Saccharomyces cerevisiae S288C: one gene and its partners. The gene in region 2 interacts genetically with the main gene of each other region. Each region holds a gene or a part of one and is shown on either strand. Other genes may lie near its edges. The genes, in order: NNF2, KSP1, FMC1 and BTS1.

The links.
Region 1: mutations in KSP1 (region 2) and NNF2 together harm fitness more than expected from each alone (negative genetic interaction), as found in Saccharomyces cerevisiae (2 studies listed by BioGRID).
Region 3: mutations in KSP1 (region 2) and FMC1 together harm fitness more than expected from each alone (negative genetic interaction), as found in Saccharomyces cerevisiae (2 studies listed by BioGRID).
Region 4: mutations in KSP1 (region 2) and BTS1 together harm fitness more than expected from each alone (negative genetic interaction), as found in Saccharomyces cerevisiae (3 studies listed by BioGRID).

What each region holds. Positions count from the first base shown.
Region 1 is NC_001139.9:655,137-660,282, reverse strand, and holds NNF2 (Nnf2p), read right to left. Parts: upstream 3,324-5,146; coding exon 513-3,323; downstream 1-512. Other genes in the region: CTT1 (catalase T), read right to left, coding at 3,961-5,146.
Region 2 is NC_001140.6:267,895-273,527, reverse strand, and holds KSP1 (putative serine/threonine protein kinase KSP1), read left to right. Parts: upstream 1-1,979; coding exon 1,980-5,069; downstream 5,070-5,633. Other genes in the region: SAM complex subunit SAM35, read right to left, coding at 1-901; LRP1 (Lrp1p), read right to left, coding at 5,436-5,633. UniProt on the Saccharomyces cerevisiae protein: May act on PRP20.
Region 3 is NC_001141.2:179,223-182,152, forward strand, and holds FMC1 (Fmc1p), read right to left. Parts: upstream 1,018-2,930; coding exon 550-1,017; downstream 1-549. Other genes in the region: SGA1 (glucan 1,4-alpha-glucosidase), read left to right, coding at 1-431; glucose-induced degradation complex subunit FYV10, read left to right, coding at 1,205-2,755; BMT5 (25S rRNA (uracil2634-N3)-methyltransferase), read right to left, coding at 2,895-2,930. UniProt on the Saccharomyces cerevisiae protein: Needed for the assembly of the mitochondrial F1-F0 complex at high temperature.
Region 4 is NC_001148.4:422,321-425,796, forward strand, and holds BTS1 (farnesyltranstransferase), read right to left. Parts: upstream 1,573-3,476; coding exon 565-1,572; downstream 1-564. Other genes in the region: guanine nucleotide exchange factor MUK1, read left to right, coding at 1-466; YPL068C (uncharacterized protein), read right to left, coding at 1,895-2,776; HTC1 (Htc1p), read right to left, coding at 2,931-3,476. UniProt on the Saccharomyces cerevisiae protein: Catalyzes the trans-addition of the 3 molecules of IPP onto DMAPP to form geranylgeranyl pyrophosphate. Required for the membrane attachment of YPT1 and SEC4. May be involved in vesicle trafficking and protein sorting.

The DNA of each region.
Region 1 (5,146 bases), on a different chromosome or scaffold from region 2:
GAATATTAGTTTTCGTAGCTTGTAATGTATTTGAATTGGAACCATCTAATTGTTATCTGCCATTTTAGTATTTTGGACAAGCTCCAAATATGTGGTCCTAAGTTCATATCGAGGATACAGATTATTTGGGCCGTATCTTTGATGTCATGGAGAGTAGTGTGGCCTTCCAAGTCCTGGGGCAGCTATTAATTAGGGAATGTTTTGATCAACAACTTAGTGTTAATAGTAGACACAACGATGTGAACTGTTCAATACATCAGCAAACATTCTTAGTTTTTCTCATATTTTATGTTTACTTATGTTAACCTGCATTATTTCCATAAATAACAAAAGGCAAAAAAGTAACAAATGAAGTTATTAGGAAACAATAAAAAAACAATATCGAGAAAAAAACGACTGACTACATTTAAAGTAGAACGTCCAAGTAATAAATACATGTATATATTCAATAGAAGTAAATTTTAGGATGCTACAAAACGAATTCTTATCTATCTTTGTTTTCTAATCTTCCATCAGTAACTATTACCAATTAGACTATGTATATTTTCATTCTCATTTTCTAATCTGTTGATATCTTGCTCTAACCCCTTTATAGTCAATTCAAATTTATTGGCTTCGCGTATCCTGTACTCCTTTCTTCTAAATCTATCCTTTTCTCTTTTACTCAAAAATTGAGTACTGAACTTTTCTATCTCTTCTGCGTTCTGATCGACCTCCTTTTGTAACTTCTCGTTTCTCGCGTTCAATTTGTCCAGTTTAGAGCCTAGTTGAACTAATTCTTGATTGACCTTTTGGAACCTCCCTTCTGAGTTTTTCAGGTCTTTCGATAAGCTTTCTTCTAACTTACTGAACTCTAATTGATTTTTCAAGTGTAGATCTTTCTTTTTCAAGTATTCCTCTTCTAATTCAAGCTCTTTTTCAGTGAGAGTTTTCAATTGCATCTCTAACTTATTTACCGCAGTCTCACTTTGCTGTAGGGCAACCTTCAAATTTTCGACTTTTAAAGTGCTCTTTTCGTCATGTGTTGCGTTCTGTGAAATCCTGCCTTTAAAATAATCAATTTCTTGTCTCAAAAGACTTAACTTCTTGCTGAATTCCTTTTTTGTCTTTTTCAATTTTGTCCTTTCATCGGACAAATTTGCGTTTGTAGTTAGCACGGAATGCTTCAGAGTTAGCAACGGAGATAAGAATTTCCTATGGTAGTATGAAGGGAAGCTGAAATCAAGGTTTTCAAATTTTCCGGCAATCGCATTGTTATTCCCACAAGTCCTTACAATTAAATCAGAAACCAAATAATCATCTCGGTGATTTAGTCTGTTGATGAATTGAATATCATAAGAACAAGAAGGGACTAATCCGTTAACGACAACGTATTCTTCGCCTACATGCTCTAAAATTAAAGCGCAAGAAACTTCTGACCAGATAACACCGTTTACTAAAACAATGAGTTCGCCATCATGTAAATTTTCAATATGGAATGTAATAGAGTTTGTGCTAATATCAATAATGCAAACTTTGTAGTCATTATCATTTCTATTGAAAATATTTTCATTGGTGGAAACTAAATTTAAAAGATTGTAGTCATCAGATGTTGTCTTTGCAATCAGGGCCATAGTATTTGAAGGTTCGAAATTGTTAAACACGCTCTTCTTAAACTTTCCGGCATGGGTGAAACTAATTCTTGATGAAACTGAATGTGTATTAATCGTGTCCAAATCTTTGTCATGTTTTTCCTGATTACTGACGTATGAAGTATTCGAATTTGTTGGTGTTAGTGAATTTTCAGAGGTTTCTTGTAAGTATTTTTTTTCAAAATTCGTTGTTTTTAATGTAACTACCATAGACCAAAGAGGTGCAATCAAGTGTTGATTCTTTCTTCTGAATAGAAGACGGATAAAATTTTCCAAGTTTGATGTAACAGATATGTCTGAAGATAATTTGCTAGAAGAAAACATGTTCCCAAAATCAACATTCAGTTCAAACAGTTGGTTAGTATACTTGTCATTGGAAGGGGAAAAGAAATCAGAATCCTTTTTCGAATTTCCATTCGAGGAATCAGATAGAGAGATTTCATTTGACAAACTAGTGTTATCACCAGAAAAGTTGAACGTTGTAGGAGAGGTTGTTGTACTGGTAGTAGTAGTAACGGCTTGAGAATTGCTTCCTTCAGCAGAGATTACCGATGGCTGATATGACTTATATTCCTTGACCATAGAAGTGAAATAGGGAAAACTAGAAGTAGCATCAGTAGGATAAGAGGCGGCAGGGTTCAAAATATTACTGTGTGATGATAGGGGAACTGGCGAGTTATTTTGTTGGGATGGATGGATAGTTTGATTGCTGCTGCTAAGTCCACCTGGATCGTTCGGTATCATAGGACTTTGGTCCTCTAAAGTGTTCGAATCGGCAGAAACGGAAGAAGAAGAAGAAATTCTCATCTTTTGCAGACCTTGAACACGGGCTACATCTGGTTTAGTTGAATTGAAACCCTTTTTCAATGGCTTGTTTTCCGCTGTTTGTCTATGAGGGTGTAATAAACTTGAAGCAAATGAGAAAAAAAGGATGTGAAAGGATAGATAATAAATCATACTGTCTGAATGTTTGCCAAGCATCTTGAAAGGCATTGGCAAAAATAGAGAGAAAAGCTTTTTGAAAAACTGTGAATACTTGCGAAAAACCGTGAATAATTTAATTGATTGGCCGGTTCCTCGTAAAGACATATCAAATAACTGTATAATGTCAAAGAAGTGTGACACTCTTTGAAAAGTGTTAGTTGACACAGCATACAATACTGAGCATGAAGTTGCATAGCTTAAGCAATCGCTTGGATCATTGATCAAAAATGAGGCAATAATAGAAATTGCCAGATTTTTTATTGGCTTAACAAAATAATCGCCACCGTAAATCTTTAGTAACATTGCAAATAAAATTTCACAAATTAATACGGGGATCGGAATGACGAAGCTATTTTTTGAATTGCCAAAAAATCGTGAATTAGATTTTCGGTTTGAACTACCATTGGTCACTTTGGAAGTACTTATATCTATGTGCGCCACTTCACCGATATGGCGGGAAGGTTTTTTCGATAGGAAAAGTATAATAAAACAATTTGCCAGAAAATCTTTGCATTTGGTAGCAACAATAAAGGAAACCAATAAACATAGGGAAGTGAAGTGGTTAAAACTCAAAAAAACCAGGAACAATGCAAGCGTATCTTTAAACCTATGTTTTTTGGCAAATTCGGTGGGCTGTTCACTCCTTTTAGTGTTCATTAATGACTGTAGATGTGATACTTTCTTCTGATTAGTAAATTGTTCCTCCATGAAAATTGTGCATGGATCCTTTTATGTAACGGAGATAGGTGGAATCTTAAAAAATATTGGGGTGTATATGAATAAAAGTTATTCAGAGTGATTACCTAAAGAGATGGTACGAAAAATGTGGAGATAGAAAACAAAAAACTTTGGTAAGATATTATTATAACAGAAAGAATTTAAAGTTTTCTCTGCTGGTACTCTGTATAATCCTCTTAGTCCTAATAAAATTTGTTTATTCCTCTTTTAATAGAAACTAACGAGTTGTGAAAACCTAGTTATGTTACTTGTTATATTACACCTTCAAGAGGTTTAGGAATTCAACGTTATAAACACACAACTGCATAAGTTAGGCTACTTTTTTTTTTCAGATTGTCCGTATAATGCGATAATCGTTGAGTTCATGCCGATCTAAGTACCGAATTAGAAAAAAATGTGTCAAAAGTAGGCAGCCAATCTGTTTTGCTGCCATATTTTTCCTAACAGGATTTGCTATGTATGAAGTACGATAAGTATGAAATATTAGTGCTTGTACATACGACCAATTTGTAATAACTAGTGATGTAGAGAATAAACTTAAAGAAAACTTATGAATAAATAATTATGGAGATATAATTACGAATAATTATGAATAAATAGTGCTGCCTTAATTGGCACTTGCAATGGACCAAGTCTTGGCATAACCTTCAAGGTCAACAGGTTCCCAAGGAACTCCCAAGCATTCTGCAATGACTTTACCCAAATCTTCGTTTAGCAAACCAAAGTATTGCGTAACTCTCTTTTTGACTTTAGGATCTTTGATCTTACAAGCGTGGCAAACAACGTTATGAACGAATAATTTCTTCTGTTCATCGTTGTATACCTTTTCATATAGAGCTCTTGGCTGTTCGAAGTCTAGTGGACTAATACCATAAACGTAGTAATATTGATTAATTTTGGCATCAACAATATGCTCGTTTCTGATTTGGTCTTGTTCCTGTTTTCTCACAGAAACTTCTGTTACTTCGTCAAGAACTATCCCTTTGAACTTATCAGATACTTCGTCGTTGTCTTCATTTTTGAATTTCAGAGTTTGATTTGGTAAACTGGAAATATAATTTGGCTCAGGACCGAAATTGTAGTAACTCATTGGGCCGTCCCTTTGGAAGTTCACTGCTTTAAATGGACACTGTTCGGCAGTGTATTGGGAATCACCTTTGGAGTATGGACATCCCAAGTTTCTTGGTCTGTTGACGGGCAATTGCTGATAGTTGGCTCCCAATCTATGACGTTGAGTGTCTGGATAGGAGAAAAGTCTGGCTTGTAGAACGGAATCATTAGAAGGCTTAATACCTGGGATACAAGTGTTCGTTGGACTGAATGCAACTTGTTCAATTTCTTGGAAATAATTGTCAACATTCTCCGTTAGGGTGATGGTACCAAATTTTCTCAAAGGGAATTCCTTGTGTGGCCATATTTTCGTTAGGTCATTTACCGAATACCTGAACTTAGTTGCTTGTTCGGGTGTCATTGTTTGCACATAACAGTTAAATTTTGGCTTTTCGCCATTTTGCAATTGAGTGAACAGCTTTGCCTGATTATAATCAGGGTGGGAGCCTGACAGTTCAGCAGCCTTATCTCCAGTCAAGGTTTCAAAACCAGTATCCGACAAGACGTGGAATTGCACATATGTGTCCTTACCTTCTTTGTTGACCATGATGAAGGAATGACCAGAGTACGCGTTCATACTAGCCCACGAAGCAGGAGTACCTCTATCACCAAACATGTAAGTTATTTGATGGATTGATTCCGGATTCAATGTTAGATAATCCCAGTATATGGTAGTGTCCTGA
Region 2 (5,633 bases):
CCTTAACGTTCGTTATACAAAGAATGTAACTTGCAATTTTCAGATGTAAGTAAGTGGGTTGCCCGTCGCTTTTCAACATATCTTTTAAACCTAAAAGAACTTGCTTGCTATTCTCGAACAAAACGTTCAAGACCTGCTCTTGATTAACGGAGTTGTGATGGTTGTGATAAACTCCTTGCATACTCTTGACGATTTCTCGATGGCGGAACTGGAACTTGTTCCGCTTTGTTAGGGATATCTTCAAACTCTTTGCGGACAACTTCTGTAATAAAGAGTTTTCTACGTCCAATGGAGTGACTATCGAACCACTTAACTTCTGGCAAGAGTACAATTCCATGAATTGCGCATCTGAGGCACAGAAAATTATTTGCGTGATCCAACAATCGTACAGCACGGTATCCAGCAACGTATAGTACATCAACTGCTCAGCATCATCAAGTATCCGAGACCTCATAATTTCGCTGATTGCCACGGTGGATCTTATAATTCTCTTCTTGTAACCCTCAACTAGAATAGGTAGGGCCTCATCGGGGTTAGAAAGACGGGACAGAACGAGCATTTCATGGTTACAGGTATGCGATGGGGTTTGTTCCTGCGAGTGCGTGGGTAAGACTAGACCATTCTTTTGACACAGCGCAAGCTGAACAAACAGACACCATGGATCTGTGGCCAATGCCGCCCCTGTATTTGCCTCCAAAAAAACGTTGTAAACACCTAGCTTGTACGTCCCCTCCACAGTCAACTCAGAGCTTCCACCACCGCGTTCTGTGAATGTGTAGGACCTCCGCTGTATTTCTAATGCAACGGCCTCGTCCTTGTCAGTCTGCGCAGCATATGTTTGTAACGGAAATGTGTCAAATATCCGTTTTACTGGCATGGGAACACTGAATGAACTTACCATTGTGCACGATGGCTTCGTTTTAGCCCTATATGAGACGACATACAAGAGGCCTTCACACCATTTATTTCAGCATTCACTTCTAAATATCGTCCCGTTACCCTCATCGCTACTGCCGGGCGTTCCCAACCCCTTCCGAGGCAGATTATATTTATTTATCTTTTTAACAATTTGTCCCTATATAGGCGGGCCGAACACAGCACGTGAAAGAACTCTCAGGCTTCCACAACAGGCCATATCAAGTCCACACTTCCCTCATTACTAGCATTTTTACACAAGCAGTCCACGCATTCCGCAACAGTGTTCACCTTTCTTTTCCCTAACTTATCTTATTATTTGTTTGTTGATCGCAAACAGACCCTTTTTTTTGGTGAGCGCATTTTACACAGTCTCAAGTGTCCTCTACTATAAAAATACAACCTCAAACAGTACTTACTGGCGTCCGCAGAATATTACTGCACTCTCAATCTGTAAAGAATATAACAAGTGACCCATTCCCTTGTTTTATTCAACTTCGAAATCTCTCTGGCTATCTTTGCATGCTTATCTAACTTTCACGTGACCCGGATATTGTTCTCTGCTCAAAAAAGAACTGCAAAGAAGGAAATAGAAAAATAGCATACAGGCTCAAAGCTATAGTTTTCTGAAAAGGGACACCACGAATACAGTAGTATCAAAGAGAAAAAAGACTTCTTTATACTTACAGAAGGTTCATTTTCTGATTCTACTCTTCCAATCTAGTGTCGCAAAAAAACAAAACTTACTGGTATTAGCTGGCAAAAAAAAAAAGAATAGGTTATAATTAAAGACATCTTTTCTCTATAAATTTTTTCTTAGAAGAAAAAGCCAAAAAAAAAAAACCTGCTTCATACCCGCCATCAAATCTTATAGGCCTTATAGACTGCATATTACCGGATTCTTTCTCTCCGTTAACCCTACTATTCTTTCACTATACTTTAACCTAAAATAAAAAAGGAAAAAAAAAATTAAAAACTTCCAAAAACTTAGAAATTTCAAATACAAAACAAAAAGACACGTAAAGTTAGTGCAATATTTTTTTCTTACAATTTTTTGAAACTCGATGACTTTAGATTACGAGATTTACAAAGAAGGAGGTATTTTGAATAATCGATATCAAAAAATAGAGGATATCAGTGAAGGTTCATATGGTTATGTATCATTGGCTAAAGATGTTAGAGAGAAAAGATTGGTTGCAGTCAAATACATTTTCAAATTAGAAGATGACGGCCAGTACGATGGGCCTCAGGACGACGAAAATGATTGTGATAGTAGCGATTGTGATGATGATGAAGACACGAAAGTTGATACGGATCGCCATGAAAATGAAAATGGTAATGCCTCCAGTAATAACGGGTCAAGTAGAGAGAAGAAACACAATCTCTACAAACACAAAAAGTCCCTAATTTCTTCGAAAGTTAAATCAAGACTATCTAATAACATTTGTCTCGAAGCCATGTATGAAGTTGATATTCAAACAAAAATTGGTAGACACCAAAATATTGCTGCTCTATTAGATTTCTTCGACTCTTACATCATCATGGAATATTGCTCTGGCGGTGACCTATATGAGGCGATCAAAGCCGATGCTGTGCCTAAGAAAACCAAATCGATCACTCATATTATCACACAAATCATGGATGCAATTGAATATGTTCATAACAAGGGCATTTATCATCGTGATATAAAACCTGAGAACATTTTAATTTCTGGAATTGATTGGACAATTAAGCTTACAGATTGGGGATTGGCTACTACAGATAAGACGTCTATGGATAGAAATGTCGGTAGTGAAAGATATATGTCCCCTGAACTTTTTGATAGTAATTTGGATATCAAGGAAAGAAAGGAACCTTATGACTGTGCCAAAGTGGATTTATGGGCTATGGGAATTGTGTTTCTTAATATTGTTTTCCATAAGAATCCTTTTAGTATTGCCAATCAATCCGACAAGTCATTCTGTTATTTTGCTGCTAATAGAGAAGCGTTGTTTGATGTATTTTCGACAATGGCTTATGATTTCTTTCAAGTATTAAGGTATAGTTTAACCATCGATCCGGCTAATAGAGACTTGAAAATGATGAGAACTGAACTACAGAACTTATCTGAGTATACATTAGACGATGAATACTATAATAACTTGGATGAAGGATATGAAGAAACTATGATTGACGGTTTGCCACCTCAGCCTGTTCCTCCATCTTCAGCACCGGTATCATTACCTACTCCTATTTCATCTAGTAACAAACAACATATGCCTGAATTTAAAAAGGATTTCAATTTCAATAATGTGAATGAAAGGAAACGGTCAGATGTCTCTCAAAATCAAAATGTTGCAAGCGGCTTCTTTAAAAAACCGTCTACACAACAACAGAAATTTTTCAACCAGGGTTATAATACAACACTATCTACTCATGAAAGGGCTAAATCTGCTCCTAAGTTCAAATTTAAGAAGCGCAATAAGTACGGAAGAACTGATAATCAATTTTCCAAACCAGTCAATATCGAAGATAGAAAGAAAAGTAAAATTTTGAAAAAATCAAGGAAGCCTCTTGGCATACCAACGCCTAATACACACATGAATAATTTTTTCCACGATTACAAAGCAAGGGATGAATTCAACACCAGAGATTTTTTCACTCCTCCAAGTGTCCAGCACAGGTATATGGAGGGGTTTTCCAACAACAACAATAAACAGTACAGACAGAATCGTAATTACAACAATAATAACAACAACAGCAATAACAATCATGGAAGTAATTATAATAATTTTAACAATGGTAATAGCTATATAAAGGGTTGGAACAAAAACTTTAACAAATACAGAAGACCAAGTTCCTCCAGTTATACCGGTAAGTCACCACTTTCAAGGTACAACATGAGCTATAATCATAACAACAATAGTTCTATAAATGGTTATGCAAGGCGTGGTTCTACGACTACAGTTCAACATTCACCAGGCGCTTATATTCCACCAAATGCCAGGAACCATCACGTAAGCCCAACGAATCAGTTTTTAAGAGTTCCGCAATCAACTGCTCCTGATATCTCTACCGTTTTAGGTGGGAAGCCTTCATACCAGGAACACTACACTCAGGATAGTATGGATTCTGAGGGCGATCACGATTCAGACGACGTTTTATTCACTCTTGAAGAAGGTGATCATGATTTCGTCAATGGTATGGACAACTTATCTATAAATGATCACTTACCGCATACAACGGTAGGTAGCCATAATGAAGTATTTGTTCACGCAAGCACTAATCACAATAACAATGGCAACAACAACCATATCGACACCAATAGTACCACTAATCAATATCATAGACAATATATTCCACCTCCTTTGACAACATCATTGCATATCAACAATAACAATAATGAATCTAATGAACTACCAGATTTACTAAAATCACCAGCATCATCTGAAGCACATTTAAATTTATCTTCTGGACCAATTGATCCAATTTTAACAGGTAATATTGGCAATCGATATTCACACTCATCTGACTCTAAGGAGCTAGAGCAGGAGCGTAGACTCAGTATGGAACAAAAATTTAAAAATGGGGTTTATGTTCCACCTCATCATAGGAAGAGTTTCAACTTGGGAACACAGGTACCTCCTATGAATATGAAGACAAGTAACGAGGCCACGTTGTCAGTTTCGCATAATTCTGTTAATTTTGGTGGATCTTACAATTCCAGGCGTTCCAGTGCTAATGAATCTAACCCACTGCATATGAATAAAGCACTCGAGAAGTTGTCCTCTTCACCAGGAGCTAAAAGCTCCTTCGTTGGCTTCCCTAAACCTTTATTACCTCGTAATCATTCAAGCACTACGATTGCGTTGCAAAATGAAGACGTATTCGCAGACTCTAACAATGACGCCATAATTTTCGAAGACGAAGAATACGAAGGAGAAAGTGACAAGATGGCACATGGCAAAATGGAAGGTGGTGACAACGAATCCTCGTCAACCTCCCCGGATGAAAGGCAAATTTTCGGTCCTTATGAAATTTATGCTCAAACTTTCGCTGGCTCCACTCACGATAAAAAATTAGGAGCTGGCAGGAAGACAAGTATTCAGGATGAAATGGTCGGATCGTTAGAACAATACAAGAATAATTGGTTAATTTTACAGCAACAAGACTAAGCGCACCTATTCCCTCTGTTATGTTGCTTATTATTTTCTTCCCTTCTGAAATGCATTTTTAGCTTTTTTCATCAATTTGGCATCATCGTGCATTTCAACTTCTAAGTATGAATGCTTTTTGGTAGTTAAGCTTGAAGGGTTTTATGAAAACTCTCTTTTCTTAGATATTTCTACAGTCTTATATAACGTCAATTCACACAAAAGTGTTCACTGCCAACTACAAGAATAGCATATACACATATTAGTTACTTCAACGAGTTCTTATTGTTATTATAAAAGTATATAAACCCTATAAGCATTTTTGCATTTGTGCTCTCACATCACCTTTAATCATTTTTTCACTCATGTACCAGTATACGTCGACCTCTACTTCTTCCCTCCTTTCTTTTTTCCAACTTTATCCAATCTTTTACTTTTCTTACTACTTGCTTTCCTTATATGATCGGTACTGTCAATAATCTTAGTCGTTGTACTCTCTGCCAGTTCATCGTTTTCAAATTTCGTATGCTTCCCTTGAAAGTTGCTCCTGCTTATAGAGGGCTCGAATTGGTTTTTATTACCGTC
Region 3 (2,930 bases), on a different chromosome or scaffold from region 2:
ATGATGGATATGGCTTTGGCGAGGGAAATCCCTGGGTCCTGGCCACGTGTACCGCTTCAACAACGCTTTATCAGCTCATTTACAGACACATCTCTGAGCAGCATGACTTGGTTGTCCCAATGAACAACGATTGTTCGAACGCATTTTGGAGCGAGCTGGTATTCTCCAACCTCACGACTTTGGGAAATGACGAAGGCTATTTGATTTTGGAGTTCAATACACCTGCCTTCAATCAAACCATACAAAAAATCTTCCAACTAGCTGATTCATTCTTGGTCAAGCTGAAAGCTCACGTGGGAACAGACGGGGAACTAAGTGAACAATTTAACAAATACACAGGGTTTATGCAGGGTGCCCAACACCTTACCTGGTCCTATACTTCATTCTGGGATGCCTATCAAATAAGACAAGAAGTTTTACAGAGTTTGTAGACAAAAAAAAAAATAAAAGGAAAGCGAGAAGTATACACAAGTGTATTTCCTAGATATTTACATCAAATATATATATATACTTATTTACAAAACTCTGATATTATAAATTGATTAGATACTATGTCGGAACGTCCAGCCCAACCACGTTTGCAGTTCTTTTCACTTTCTCATCCTGTGTCAACTTGTTGCCAGGATTGTATCTGTCGACCAGCTCCTCGTATTCTCTTTGGTTGTCCAAGAACTTGATGATGTCCAAAGCGTGTTCGAATATCTCGTCAACGTTTTGTCCCTGGGCCACCTTTTTCTCCCACTTTATATCGTTTTGTAATATGGAACGTAATGACTTAGAGTCGGCTATAAACAAATTCAAAGATCTGTCGCTTACCGGATCTAGTTTTTTCCATTTCTCTAACTGTCTGTTGATGTTCTCATGCGAGTCTCTCTGATTTTGTTTCTTAGCATATTCCAACTTTGTTATCATTGCCTTTCGTAGATTGCCCCAATTGACTATCTTGCTTGGCCTTTCATATTTCAGAATGGCTCTTATGAGTCCTCTATATGTGCGTAATGTTCTTGGTCTATCCATTTCCCTGGCACTCTCTCTTTCTCTCTCTTTTCAGCTTTTTGTTATCCACTTATCGCTGCAAATGAAACTCTAGTGCAATTTGAGATATTCACTTTTTGCAAAGGCGAAGAGAAGGGGGTGGTTAAATCTACAATTTCATACATAAAACAGAGAAAATGATTATAAATTATAGGAAAGTAGGTAAGCCATGGCAGAGAAATCAATATTTAATGAGCCTGATGTGGATTTCCATTTGAAATTAAATCAACAATTATTTCATATTCCTTATGAACTACTGTCCAAACGTATCAAGCATACTCAAGCGGTAATTAATAAGGAAACCAAATCACTACATGAACACACGGCCGCATTAAATCAAATATTTGAACATAATGACGTTGAGCACGACGAGTTGGCACTAGCAAAAATAACTGAAATGATTAGGAAAGTTGACCATATAGAAAGATTTTTAAATACGCAAATCAAGTCCTACTGTCAGATTTTGAACAGAATTAAAAAAAGGCTGGAGTTTTTCCACGAACTGAAGGACATCAAGTCACAAAATTCAGGAACATCGCACAATGGAAATAATGAGGGTACCAGGACTAAATTGATACAGTGGTATCAGAGTTATACAAACATTTTAATTGGTGATTATCTGACGAGGAATAACCCGATTAAATACAACTCGGAGACAAAGGATCATTGGAACTCTGGCGTAGTGTTTTTGAAACAGAGCCAACTGGATGATCTCATTGATTATGATGTCCTCTTGGAGGCTAATAGAATTTCGACTTCGTTACTACATGAGCGTAATCTCTTACCCCTAATTTCATGGATAAACGAGAACAAAAAGACACTGACCAAAAAGTCCTCTATATTAGAGTTTCAAGCAAGATTGCAAGAATATATTGAACTACTAAAGGTGGATAACTATACCGACGCTATAGTATGTTTTCAAAGATTCCTTTTACCATTCGTTAAGAGCAACTTCACCGATTTAAAATTAGCATCTGGACTTCTGATTTTTATCAAATACTGTAATGATCAAAAGCCAACTTCTTCTACCAGCTCTGGATTCGATACTGAAGAGATTAAGTCTCAAAGTTTACCAATGAAGAAAGATCGAATATTTCAACATTTTTTTCACAAATCTTTACCTAGAATTACCTCCAAACCTGCGGTGAATACAACAGACTATGACAAGAGTTCCTTAATAAATTTACAAAGTGGAGATTTCGAAAGATATCTGAATTTATTAGATGATCAAAGATGGTCGGTATTAAATGATTTATTCTTGAGCGACTTTTATTCCATGTATGGCATATCACAAAATGACCCTTTATTGATATACCTGTCACTAGGTATATCGTCTTTGAAGACAAGAGATTGCCTGCACCCTTCTGACGATGAAAATGGAAATCAAGAGACGGAAACTGCCACAACAGCAGAGAAAGAAGTTGAAGATTTACAACTCTTTACGCTACATTCACTAAAAAGGAAAAATTGTCCCGTTTGCAGTGAGACTTTCAAACCAATAACACAGGCATTACCATTTGCTCATCACATTCAGTCTCAATTATTTGAAAATCCAATACTATTACCAAATGGAAATGTTTACGACAGTAAAAAATTGAAGAAATTGGCCAAAACATTGAAAAAGCAAAACTTAATTTCTTTAAATCCAGGTCAAATTATGGATCCAGTTGACATGAAAATATTTTGCGAATCAGATTCTATCAAAATGTACCCAACCTGAAATAGTTTCAAGCTATATGCATTTTTTTATATAAAGATTTGTCCAACTTTCACAACTATTTTACAGATACTTACGCTATATAAGAATTAGGGAAAATGAAAGTTCTTTCATCAACATGGCGACATTCTTCCTTCTGTACTTAGTCTGAATCAGAATCTGTGTCTTTTTTGCTTTT
Region 4 (3,476 bases), on a different chromosome or scaffold from region 2:
TGACATCGTGACTCCTACTATCCAAAGGCCAGATGTTACAAGATCGAATTCGTATGATGGCTTCAGGACCGTTTTTGATTCATCATTAAAAAATATCATCGGAAAAATTAGGTCATATACTCCACCACATCCTAACAATACTAGCAATAATAACCTTCACAGTAGCAACAACTTAAACATACCACGAAGTTCGTCTCAATTATCCATGGAATTGAGCAATAGAGATACAACAGAGATGTCTAGGGATGGCTCACGATCAACTTCATCATCTTCACGATCTTCAGCATCTTTAGAGCACGGAAATCGCGAATTTACCGGCGATTTGACAGTAACCGCTAGCATTAACGGTGCTGATAAAAAGGAGTTTCAGAAATCGTGGAAAAAATATAAAGGCTATAAATTTGAAGATTTGACTATTTGCGAACTAAGAGATCTTTTTGAGATATATCAAAAGATGATGCAATGAAACGTATATATGAAATCGTATGTATAGATGCGAAAGAGGAGGAGAGAAGGCTTTATTTCTGACTATCTTCCTCCACTAATTTGATTGATCAATTTATTTCACAATTCGGATAAGTGGTCTATTATATATAACAATTCGTCATGTAAATTGGTGGCGGTGTCGGAATGCGAAGCCAAATCAGGTAAATACTTATTTTCATTATCATTTTTTATCATATTCACTAATTGATTAATAAAATTTTTGGTGTAGGCCAATGAATTGGTGTCGAATTCCAGTATTTGAATCAGCTTTAGTTTTATATCTTTATCACTTGTCCTCAACAGGAGAATTCTTAGAATTTCATTGTGTTGCTCAGTTTGACCTTTCGTTTTAGTGAAGTTAAGGGCGTGGACGATGGGAAAAGATAACTTCCCCTCTGTAATGTCCTCAGCAAAGCCTTTTTCGCTGGACATTTGGAAATCTTTCAAATTCAAGTAATCATCTCTAATCTGATAAATAATACCCAGAAGATTTATGAAAGGAACCAACGAATGGCCGTGGTGTGAGGAAGGAGACAGCGCTTCCATGAGTCTCAACGTTAATCTGAAAAGGCCGCCTGTTTTATTCATAACCATATTCAAATACATCTCCTGAGTAGGTATGATTTCAGGCAGAAAGTCTCTCCAGTATATATCCAAGCCTTGTCCCCTATGTAGATTGATCAATTCTTCGTTGAAAATCGTAATCAAATTATGATACAAAGGCTCTTTTGTGGTTAGCTGCGATACAAGTTGCATGGCTCTGAAATACATATAATTTGCGGTGTTTATAGTGGAGGGTACACCGAAGATTAAGTGAGAAGTGGTCTGTCCCCTTCTCAAGGGAGCATTATCTTCTATATCGTCGATTAAAAGGCTGGAATTATGCAAGAGCTCAACAATTTGCGAAACTATGGCCAGCTGGTCTTTGGGCAAATTCATAACTCTGTTAATTTGAACTATTAAATTTAGTCTAAAGTTCTTGCCAGGTTTCAAAAGGATGTGATTATAAGGTTTTGAAATCAAGCTTTCATTTTGGCTGGACCAAACAGGATCATTATTGATCAGCTCATCTATCTTGGCCTCCATTGATTTTCCAGACTCGTAAACGCTTTGTTCTCTTTCTATTAGTAGCTTCTTTGAAAATGAGCCTTACATGGTTTTGTAAGCACATCTGTCTTGACTTTTTTTTTGCTTCAAAAAAACGTCAAAGAAGGCAAGGCGAAGCAAAGAAAAATGGTAGTAAGCATACAATGATCAGCATAACATATGCAAAAACACGTAATTTCTGCTATGCTGGAAGCGGTGAACGTTGGATACCACTATAATAATAGAAGTTTACCTTTCAGTATGAAAATGCGGGCTTGTCCTATATCTATATGTAATATTATGGAGTGAGTAGAGATGGCGGCTATACATCGTTGTAGAGAGTTATATCTGTATTGTTAATTAAAGATTGGCCAGGCGAAGGTTGGTTCCTTTTTGCTTTAAATCTGCTTTTATGGGGCCATACCAGAGAATTATTTCTTTCTTTCAGTATTGGCTTGTCAAGCTTTTTGATAATGCTATTAAGTGTCAGCGAATTCGCCGTAGTTTGCAACGCTGTGTTGTTTGTATGGCAATTGTTATTATATACTTCCAAATTAATCAAATCTACCAGGTTAATAGAATGCAAATTCGCTATCTCATGGATGATGTCATTGTGGTAGGCAGTGCCGCTGTGACTGGGGTGGCTAAATGGAGGTTTCCTCTCAGCTAGCATTTTTTTCAATTTGTCTGAGTGCGCTTGAGAGGAGGCCTTTAATTTGGAAGTAGTGACTGGTCTTGTCTTCGAGTCACTGTTTAATTGCTCGAATGAATATAATAGGTTTACGATGTTTTGTAGGAGTTTTAGATCATTGGGCAGCCTTAACATTTCGAAATTTTTCAAGCCGGCGAGAGTCGGCTTATGTATATCTTTATAAAATAATCTTTGTTGTCTTTTGATGAGATTGGACAAATTTTTCTGAACTTCCAATACAGAGATCTTTTCGGGATCATCATCAGGTGAAGATAGGCTGGCGCTATTGTGGAATTTAGGGCGCTGCAGAGGCTTAGGTATTATTATATTTGAGGTGCCCAGTGTTGTGGTTGTGGCTCGAATAGCTGGACTAACCATGTTTTGTGCGACTACTTTACGCTTCTTAGGGACAATAATGGATGGTACCGCTGCCGTTGTGGTTGAAGGAGGATCGGACGTCTGATTTCTCCCTGAATAGTCAACCCTTTTTCTTTTCCTGAGTTGCATATGCATATTATATTGTATGTGCTTGTGTAGGTAGAAGCGTCTTTTATTTATCTACTGTCTCATCAGCTCATCGCATCATTAATACCAGTATCGGTTATAGTACATAATTAACAAATGTATGTAGCATTTTGGCATGCTGAAAAAAAAAAAAAAAACTTTATCAGGCAAGTGGCTCGAAACCGTGTGAAAGGATATCATCAACGGTCGTTTTTACCTGTTCCGCGGAATAGCGTTCCCGTGGGAAGAAAAGCAGCACGTGAGCGTGGAAAATCCGGGCAACACTTTGTAGTTCCGGGTAGTTGACAAACCAGGCCACGTGACCCGAGCTTAGAAGTGGACGCAGTAGCGGCTGTGCCTGCAAAAATGCATTCATGCGAGCGCGGGCCGCTTCGCGCACGGCCTTATCTGGGGAATGTACTGGCAGGGCAACCTTGGACCAGAGAACAAGGTGTACAACACCAGGCTCGAAGTTATACGGGAAATCGTTGGCACGCACAGCATATAGAGTAGAAGAACTAAAAGCCTTCGCGGCAGCATTTTCGAGCTGCGGTTCGTCTAGCGACCAGCCTAGTTTTTGCAAAACGTACTGGTTCATGTCCAGGCCAGCAGTCCTTTTCTTATGCTCGTGGTATTTGTCAGTCATCTGGCGACTTCGTTTCAAACGGGCAAGCTCCCCCGATTCAATTATCTCTTTGATTTGTTCCCA